Mus musculus: one gene and its partner. The protein of the gene in region 1 purifies or fractionates together with the protein of each later gene. This does not show direct contact. Links are inferred from orthologs where the notes say so. Each region holds a gene or a part of one and is shown on either strand. Other genes may lie near its edges. The genes, in order: Sumo1 and Mitf.

The links.
Region 2: the proteins of Sumo1 (region 1) and Mitf purify together in Homo sapiens (affinity purification with western blotting; 3 studies listed by BioGRID and IntAct, with this or other methods). This does not show direct contact. The link is inferred for Mus musculus from reciprocal best matches to the Homo sapiens genes SUMO1 and MITF.

The regions. Positions count from the first base shown.
Region 1 is NC_000067.6:59,667,886-59,672,335, forward strand, and holds the start of Sumo1 (small ubiquitin-related modifier 1), read right to left. Parts: upstream 2,950-4,450; 5' UTR 2,807-2,949; coding exon 2,795-2,806; intron 1-2,794. UniProt on the Homo sapiens protein: Ubiquitin-like protein that can be covalently attached to proteins as a monomer or a lysine-linked polymer.
Region 2 is NC_000072.6:98,016,381-98,020,194, reverse strand, and holds part of Mitf (microphthalmia-associated transcription factor), read right to left. Parts: intron 2,422-3,814; coding exon 2,020-2,421; 3' UTR 1-2,019. UniProt on the Homo sapiens protein: Transcription factor that acts as a master regulator of melanocyte survival and differentiation as well as melanosome biogenesis.

The DNA of each region.
Region 1 (4,450 bases):
GAGGTAGGTCTTTCCATGAATCTGGGGTGACCTTTGGGATTTGACTAATATAGGACCCACTTTCAGCACTGACGGCTCTACAGAGGTCCTGAGTTCTAATTCCAGCAACCACATGGTGGCTCATACCCCTCTGTAATGAAATCTGATGTCTTCTTCTGTTGTGTCTGAACACAGCTACAATGTACTCATATATACAATAAATTAAAAAAAATAAAAACCTATCAACTGAGCCATGGTGGTATATACATTCTGGGAGTAAGAGGCCGGCAGATCTGAGGACAAGCTGATCTATAGAGCAAGTTCCAGGACAACTAAGGCTACAGAGAAACCCTTAACTTGAATCAATAAATAACCCCTAAAAAACGTTAGCATACATTTTTATTACTTTTTTTAAAGACAAAATTTCTAAGAGTAGCAGCACTATTTCATATGCAAATTGCTTTAATGTGTAGCTCAATTAAAAAGACTTGTTTTGCCAGGTGTGGTGGTAGACATCTTTAATCCCAGCACTCAGGAGATAGACACAGAAGAAACTGTGAGAAGCTGTAAGGCTACAAAAAAGATTTGCTCCATTTTTCTGTCATGTTTCTTAAAAACTTCACTGAATATCCATGAATGAGAAAAACAGACACACACACATACATACACACACACCATCTAGGCGTGACAGTATAACTCTGTAATCCCAGCTACTCTGCAAGGCTGAGAGAAGTCCAGGTTCAAGTTCAAAGGCAAGCTGTGCTACAGTCCAACCTAGGCAACTTAGTGAAACAAAGTAAAAGAAAAAATGAGGCTGTAGCACTTGCCTGGCAAGCACATGTGGGAGGCCCTAGGTCCAACACCTAATAACCCCGGTGACCAGTGAGGTGAGTGCTACAGCAAGCAACAGTGTGACTTTGCGATCCCCTGAAACCCTGTGTGTGCCCTTGGGTCCTCCTTTCTTTCTCCATATCCTTATATAATGTGAGTTCAAACTAGAGCAAAACTAATCCTAAAACTTAGAACTCTTTCTGTGTGTTGCCCTCTCTTCAGGCTAACATGCTTTCTAGCTCTTCCAAAATAGAAGGCTGATGAAACTTAAGCATTAACCCAAAAAAAAAAGAAAAAAAAAAAAAAAAAAAAGAAAGAAAGAAAAGAAAAAACAAAGGCCAGGCGTGGTGGCAACGCCTTTAATCCCAGCACTTGGGAGGTAGTGGGGGATTTCTGAGTTCAAGGCCAGCCTGGTCTACAGAGTTCCAGGACTTAAGCATTTACAGCTGATCTTTCTGAGCTGGTAACTAAGTAAACAACTGTCATAAACAAATTATTCATAAAGTCATTTCTATCCCAAAAGAGGATTAATTCAGATTATTAATAAGTAAATCCATGCCACAATTAGTCTACAGTGTAGATAGGCTATAAAAATAGAACCACCCTGGCCAGTCTGTGGTGGCACAAGCCTTTTATCCCAGCACTCAGGAGACAGAAACAGGCCGATCTCTATAAATTGGAGGCCAGCCTGGTCTACAGAGTGTTCCTAGAAAGCCAAGGCTACACAGAAAATCCGTGTCTCAAACAACAACAACAAATTTTTTTTTTAAAAAAGTCCAACTACATTGTGAAGTTGAATGAAAAAGTTTACTGAATAATTATCACAAAAGAAGAAAAAGTTAAAAAAAAAATACTCTGAAAATTAAGTCATCTGAGCAAACCAAAGCAAAGTCAGACCAAAACCTTATGTATATAAAAACTAGCCACAAAGGTAGTAACTAAAATAGGATGAAGAAAAATTTAGGTGGCAAGGAGTCACTCCTATTTGAAGGCAAATACCATGCAAATCCTTGATTCCAAAACCGAGACACACTGTTTTACTACTAATTGACAGCTTTCTGCAAATATTCTGCAATTGTACAACACGGATAACTTTTTTTTTCTCTATTTCTTCGAAAATTAGTTCAGAAACTTCTGGAAGAGAGGTTTGGGGGTGCATATAATCTAAATGCGTCATCTGATTATCAAAGAACAAAAAACGTGCTATATTTTTTTTTAAAGTGCCAAGCATCTGCTGGTTAAAGCCCAGACGAAATGGCTTGTTGGTGGTGGCACTCCATACACAGTTTGCTGTTTCTCGGTTATTCTGAGCGCTCTGAGAACTGGAGAGTTGATGGACCAATCCCGAGTAAGAAATGGAAAGTACAGCGAAAGAGCGGACCGTTCCGCACCCCCGGAAGGAAAAAAAAAAAAAAAAGACTGAGGTGTGCAGAGATGGACGGACCCTCCAGGCAAACACAACGGAAAAGCAGCGTCCTCTGGGCTCCCAGTCACCTCAGACACGGCTCCCCGGCCGCCCCCCACTCTCCGGGACCAAGAACCCAAAGTGGAGTCGAGCTGCTTTTCAGGGCCACCTAGCCTCCCAGTCGGGGATTTCCCTCCCGTTACATAACTGGGCCTAGGGCCTGGTTTCTGCCATCCGTCGTCCGAAGGGAAACGGTCGTTTTCCCCTCAGCTTGCTCTCGGGGACAAGGGAGCGGGCCTGGGCCCCCTGCGAGCCCGCGAGAAACCTGGGCGCCGTCGAGAGAGCCCCGGCGCCGGGTGGCGCGGGGGTAGGGGCCTCGGAGAGGGGCGCGGAGGGCGCGTGGAACCCAGAGCCCCGGGGTCCCAGGCGGCCTGGCCCGACTCCGCCAGGCGCCCCGCGTCCCTCGCGGCCCCCTCCCCACGGGCAGCCCCCTTCTCCAGCCGCCCCCTCCCCCGCGCCTCAGTCCAGGGCCCCAGCCCGCGGCCGACGGCCCTGAGCCCTAAGGCCCCGGCCCGGTACCTGGTCAGACATGGTGACGTGGATTCACCCGGGGGTCTCCGCACCACTGCGGCCTCCGGCAGGCAGAACCTCACTCTGAGGTTTACAAATCCGTCCCTTCTCTACAGCACAACACCGCGGCTGCAGGGACTTCCTCTACGTCTTGCGTCACTTCCGCTGCGCGCAGAGGCGAGTTAGCGAAGACGGGAAAAGGAAGCGGGAAAACGCCGTAAGGAAGGCCGGGGGCTAAAATCCTCCAGGTTGTAAACTACTTGCCTGGAGCAAGAGAACTGCTAGGACTTCGGAGGGAGGGAGAATCAGGCCCGCTGCCGCAGCCCTCAGGGAGACCAGCGCTTTGCCTGCAGGCCGAATGTCTGGGGTCAAACTGACTGCTTAGGCTCCTCCCGGTGGGACGACTTGCGCGCTTCTGAGGCCCGGACCAACCCTCACTGAATATAGTGAATTACCCGTATAGTATTTTTATAGGCCCCTCATGCTTGCTGTTGCCACATTCGTGACTCCGGGTGATAGAGGCAGAGGCTACCGGATCTCTGTGAGTTCGTGGCCATCTTCATCTACAAAGTGAGTTCCAGGACAGGACATAGAACCCTGTTGGGGGCGGGGGAGATGAGGGGGCACAAAAAGACGACCCTTCAGGACACATCTTTTGTTCTTGTGTTTTGAGGCAGGGTCTCACTAATAGCCTTGGCTATTATAGAACATTGCAATGTCAACCAGACTGGCCTCCAACTCGTAGAGATCCTCTTGCCTCTGCCTCCCAAGTGCCACCACACCCCCAGCTAGAACAAAGTCTTGGTGGCTACAGACAACTAAAATGCTACTGAAAGTTTTGAAGTTGTAGGCAGGAGCGCCTTCCAACGCATAAACTAGTTGCCTTGTGTCATAGAAAGACCTAAACTGCTTCCTTTGAATACAGTGACCTTGCACAAGCATTCAAGGAGGATTAAGGTTATAATAAGTAAAGGGGGAAAAATGAAAACTTAAATCAAAAACCCTTCACAGAACAAGACATTAGTAAAATAATCTTTTCTGTAAATAGTAATGAGCCAACTATAAATGACCCAGTAGTCAAAGAGCACTGGCTACTCTTCCAGAGGACTCAAGTCTGAGTCCCAGCACCCATGCATGCATTCAAAACTGCCTGTAACTCTAGTCCCAAGAATCAGATACTTTTTTCAGCACCAAGCCAAAGCCTGAATGCGGTTCATAAACACATTCAGACAAAAACACCCATACAAAATTAAAAATTAGTAGGTACAATATAATTACTAATGAAAATACTGAACATTCACATGCGAAAGGAGAAAGAATTTAAATCCCTATTTCACTGCATATACAAAATTAAAATGTTTCAACGGTGTTTATGTAAGACTGTTTTAGGGTTTTTTTTTTAAGATTTATTTATTTATTTTATGTATATGAGTACACTGTAGATGTTGCAGATGGTTGCAAGCCTTCATGTGGTTGTTGGGAATTGAATTTAGGATCTCTGCTTGCTCCAGTCAGCTCCGCTCACTCCAGTCAACCCTGCTCTCTCAGTCCCTGCTCACTCTGACTCAAAGACTTATTTATTATTATTTGTAAGTACACTGTAGCTGTCTTCAAATGCTCCAGAATAGGGTATTAGATCTCATTACAGATGGTTGTGAGCTGCCA
Region 2 (3,814 bases), on another chromosome or scaffold:
GTGTTTCCAAAGATTTGCATTACCCAACATGCATGGGAACCGCGCACTTGACGAATCTCACCAAGGCCATCCATTCATACATCTGACAATCACTGCTCTTGGATCTCTCCATCACCCATCACCAATTCACATTTGACATTTAAACACTTTAAAAAAAAAAAACCCTCCTGAGAAAGGTTTCCTGATGAAAGAATTTGGCACTGTCAGTAAAATATATTTCATATTAAAAATATCTGAAGGGAAATTGGAAGCTCTTAGAATGTCTACAGAGGCACCACGCTACGTCTTCCTTCTTCACTCCAGATTCCATCTTGAAACTTTCTCCTAGTTACAGTTCAGTCAGTGCTGGTCCAAAAGAGACTGCTGAGATTTTTAAGGCACTTCATTCTGAAAGGGTATGCTTTATGCCACACAGGATTCAATCGTAGGCTGCTACTGAGAAATTCCATTAGGCAGCCTGGCTTGTACCAGTATGTATCACCTGCACAAAACATCTAGACTTGATACATGTAACTCTACAGATATTGCATAGGGTTATGCAAGTAAGCAATGCACAGACACTAACTTTACAATGTTGCCACTTGGTCAAAATGTTGTTATCAAGTAATCTGCCAATACAGTGTTTCTCTTTTTAAAAAGAATCTAGCCGGTGTGTTGAAATAAATCCTAATTGAATTGACCATCATGGGCATGGTAAATGCTATGGCTATCAATCTTCAAGAATATAGTTATTTTAATACCCTAGAAATACATATGTAAGTATTTTTTTCTAGAAAGCCTGGTTGTTAACCTATTAATACTACACCTTAAATGTGTTGAAAAACAGTTTCAAGTGATAGTGGAATATACAAAATATTTGCAAAGCTCTCTTTGAACACAAGACCTTGCATAAAAGTAGTCTTTCTTGGGTGTACAAAGAATGCAGAGAACACCAATGAGTTGTAAAAGTATTGAAAACTCACTGTTTTAAGATGCATATTCTTACAAATTAATACAAACACTGAAAAAAATGATGATAATAAAGAATCTATACAATTAAAATGGCTAAAACATAATTTAAAAATAAAAATAGTAAAGCCAATTAGAAATGTGCCCAGTTCAGTTGTCTTTATCAAAAGCAAAAATGGAAAAAGAAAAAAAAAAAAAGAAAAAAAAGTGAAACAAACATCCGGTGTCCTCAGAGAGGACATTCATTTCCATTTCAAAAAAACCTTATGAAAAATTTAATCACACTTATGAGGAAAACTATAACTGTGCCCAATAAAAGCCAGCAGGTCAGATCCTATGTTTCATGCCTTGGTCTAATAACTTCTTTCAGTTTGGGTTAGCATAAGTTACATTTTCTAGCCAGACAATCCTCATGAAAATGACTGCTAGATTTGTCTGTATGTAATATATTCTTCTTTACGCAGTTTTCAGTACAAAGACATAGAAACGCTGGAAGGAAGGGAGGGCACTGTGTCTTTAAGGCAGTACCAGGAAATTGCCGCATTTAGAAAGCGAGAAAGTCTTGGATGTCTTTCCCACCATCTTTCTTCCTCCTCTTCCTCCTCCTCTTCCTCTTCCTCCTCTTCTCCTTCTTCTATCATAATCATCATCTTCTTTGTTTTCTTCTTTTGGTTGCTTTACATTCGTGTAATTAAACTTTACATGTTAATTTCAAAGGAGGTCACAGACAGACAAAGCTCACACCAAGTTTTCCCCTGAATGAAAACGGACAGACACTTACTTCTCTGAAGCAAAAAAATCCCCTTGCTCAGAAAGCTCACACTTGGAGAAATCAGTTCACAGATACTGCACGCTGAAGGTACAATACTTAGGAGGCCTTTGTAGTTGTAAAATAGAATATACAAGTCTGGCTCACAAAATTCTAAAAATAAAATATATCCTGGGCTACTGATAAAGCACGAAAATTTCATATTAAAGGAAAATTATCAAGAAAACCTCTTCAGGTAAATTATAAAGTCTCCTGAAGAAGAGAGGGAGCGGTCCGTGCAGAGGCAGAGCAAGGCAGGCTCGCTAACACGCATGCTCCGTTTCTTCTGCGCTCATACTGCTCCTCCGGCTGCTTGTTTTTGAAGCTCCTGGCGACACTGATGACAGCAGTGGGTCGGTGACTCCAACAGGTGAGAGGGCATCGTCCATCAGGATGTCTTCCAAGTTGGAGCCCATCTTCCTGGGGATGCTGTAGGCCGGGCTGCTCTCCGGCATGGTGCCGAGGTTGTTGGTAAAGGTGATGGTACCGTCCGTGAGATCCAGAGTTGTCGTACATGTCAGGTCTGCCTGGTGCTGTACAAGTTCCTGGCTGCAGTTCTCAAGAACTGGTTCTTGCTTGATGATCCGATTCACCAGATCAGGCGAGCAGAGACCGGTGGATGGGATAAGGGAAAGTCCATGCGCTCTAGCCTGCATCTCCAGCTCCTACGATAAAGTCAGAGTCAGACAGTTAAGGAAGAAACTGTGCAAGCAGTGTTAGGTGCGGTTACCCAAATGCATGGAATATATATCCCCATTAGTGTCTCTACCTAAGGTTTTGGAGGACAAGGAGAAACCAGTTCTAACAAAGGGGCCACTGAGGTGTCCATTTTGATGATCCGGGGGACTGCATGTTGGATGACATGTAGTGACATGTGGAGCTCTCTAGCGCTTATATTCTACTGTACTGTGAACCTGAGACTGCTTTTAAAGACTGAAGTCTATTTTCTATTTTTAAGACATCAGACCTGGGGACAACTATAAACTGTCAAAGCAAAGCTTGCTACTTTTCAAAAATAAATTCTGCATTTCCCAAAGACAGGTGGTATTAGGAGTATAGGAAATATCCTTTTAGATGGTATATATTTTTATTATGAATTACAAATAGAAACAGTCTTACAGATATTAAGGATTAAGACAAGGATAAGCACTCAAGTCAGACTGGCCAACATCAAAAAACAAAACAAAACAAAAACCACCTACAGCAAATGCTGGCAAAGGTGCTTGCTGTGAGGAGACAGGGACCCTCACCACACTGGTGAGGAAATGTGAACTGGTACAGACACCACTGACAGCCAGTGTGGGGCTTCTTCAAAAGACCAGAAACAAAATTACCCCATGGCTCCCCCCATTCTACCCCTGGGTAGTTTCTTGAAGGGCTTAGCGAACATAGAGATGCTTGCATGTCCACGTCTCTGTGCCTTCGCTGATCACAATGGCCAGGGTGCAGTCAACCTAGATGCTCCCTATCAACAGATGAGCTGATAGGGAAACTATGAGATGCCTACACAAAAGAGCTGTATTCAGGGTCAAAGAAACCCTGAAATTGTTTGCAGGGAAATAAATGCAACTGGAGGTCACTGAGTGAAATAGAATAAGCCCGACCATGGCAAATACTGTTCTCTCTCATATGTGGACTCTTTAAAGCCTGTATGTATGCATAAGACATGACAGTAGAGGGGACTCTACAGGGAAGGATAAAGAGGGCCAACGGAAGGAAACTGGGTGGGACAAGACAGTAGTGGGGGATGGTAGATACGTGAGCATGAAAATGTCACGGGGAAGCCCATATTTTTGTACAAGGCACGTATGCTAATAAAAAATACAAAATGGGAGCTAACAGAAATATAATGCTGAGCAATGTGTAATATGTTTGGGAGATATTTTAAGATTTCAAGGGAAATGGTGATGGTTTCTCAACAGCTACCAAGTGCCAGACGGTCCCCTGATTTAGAATGAGTGTGCTACACACATTTTGATCCCCATTTTCAGTGAGACTGTGTTACACAGTTTTCAGTCCCCCGTTTCAGGGCAAGTGTGCTACACACTTTCCAGTCTC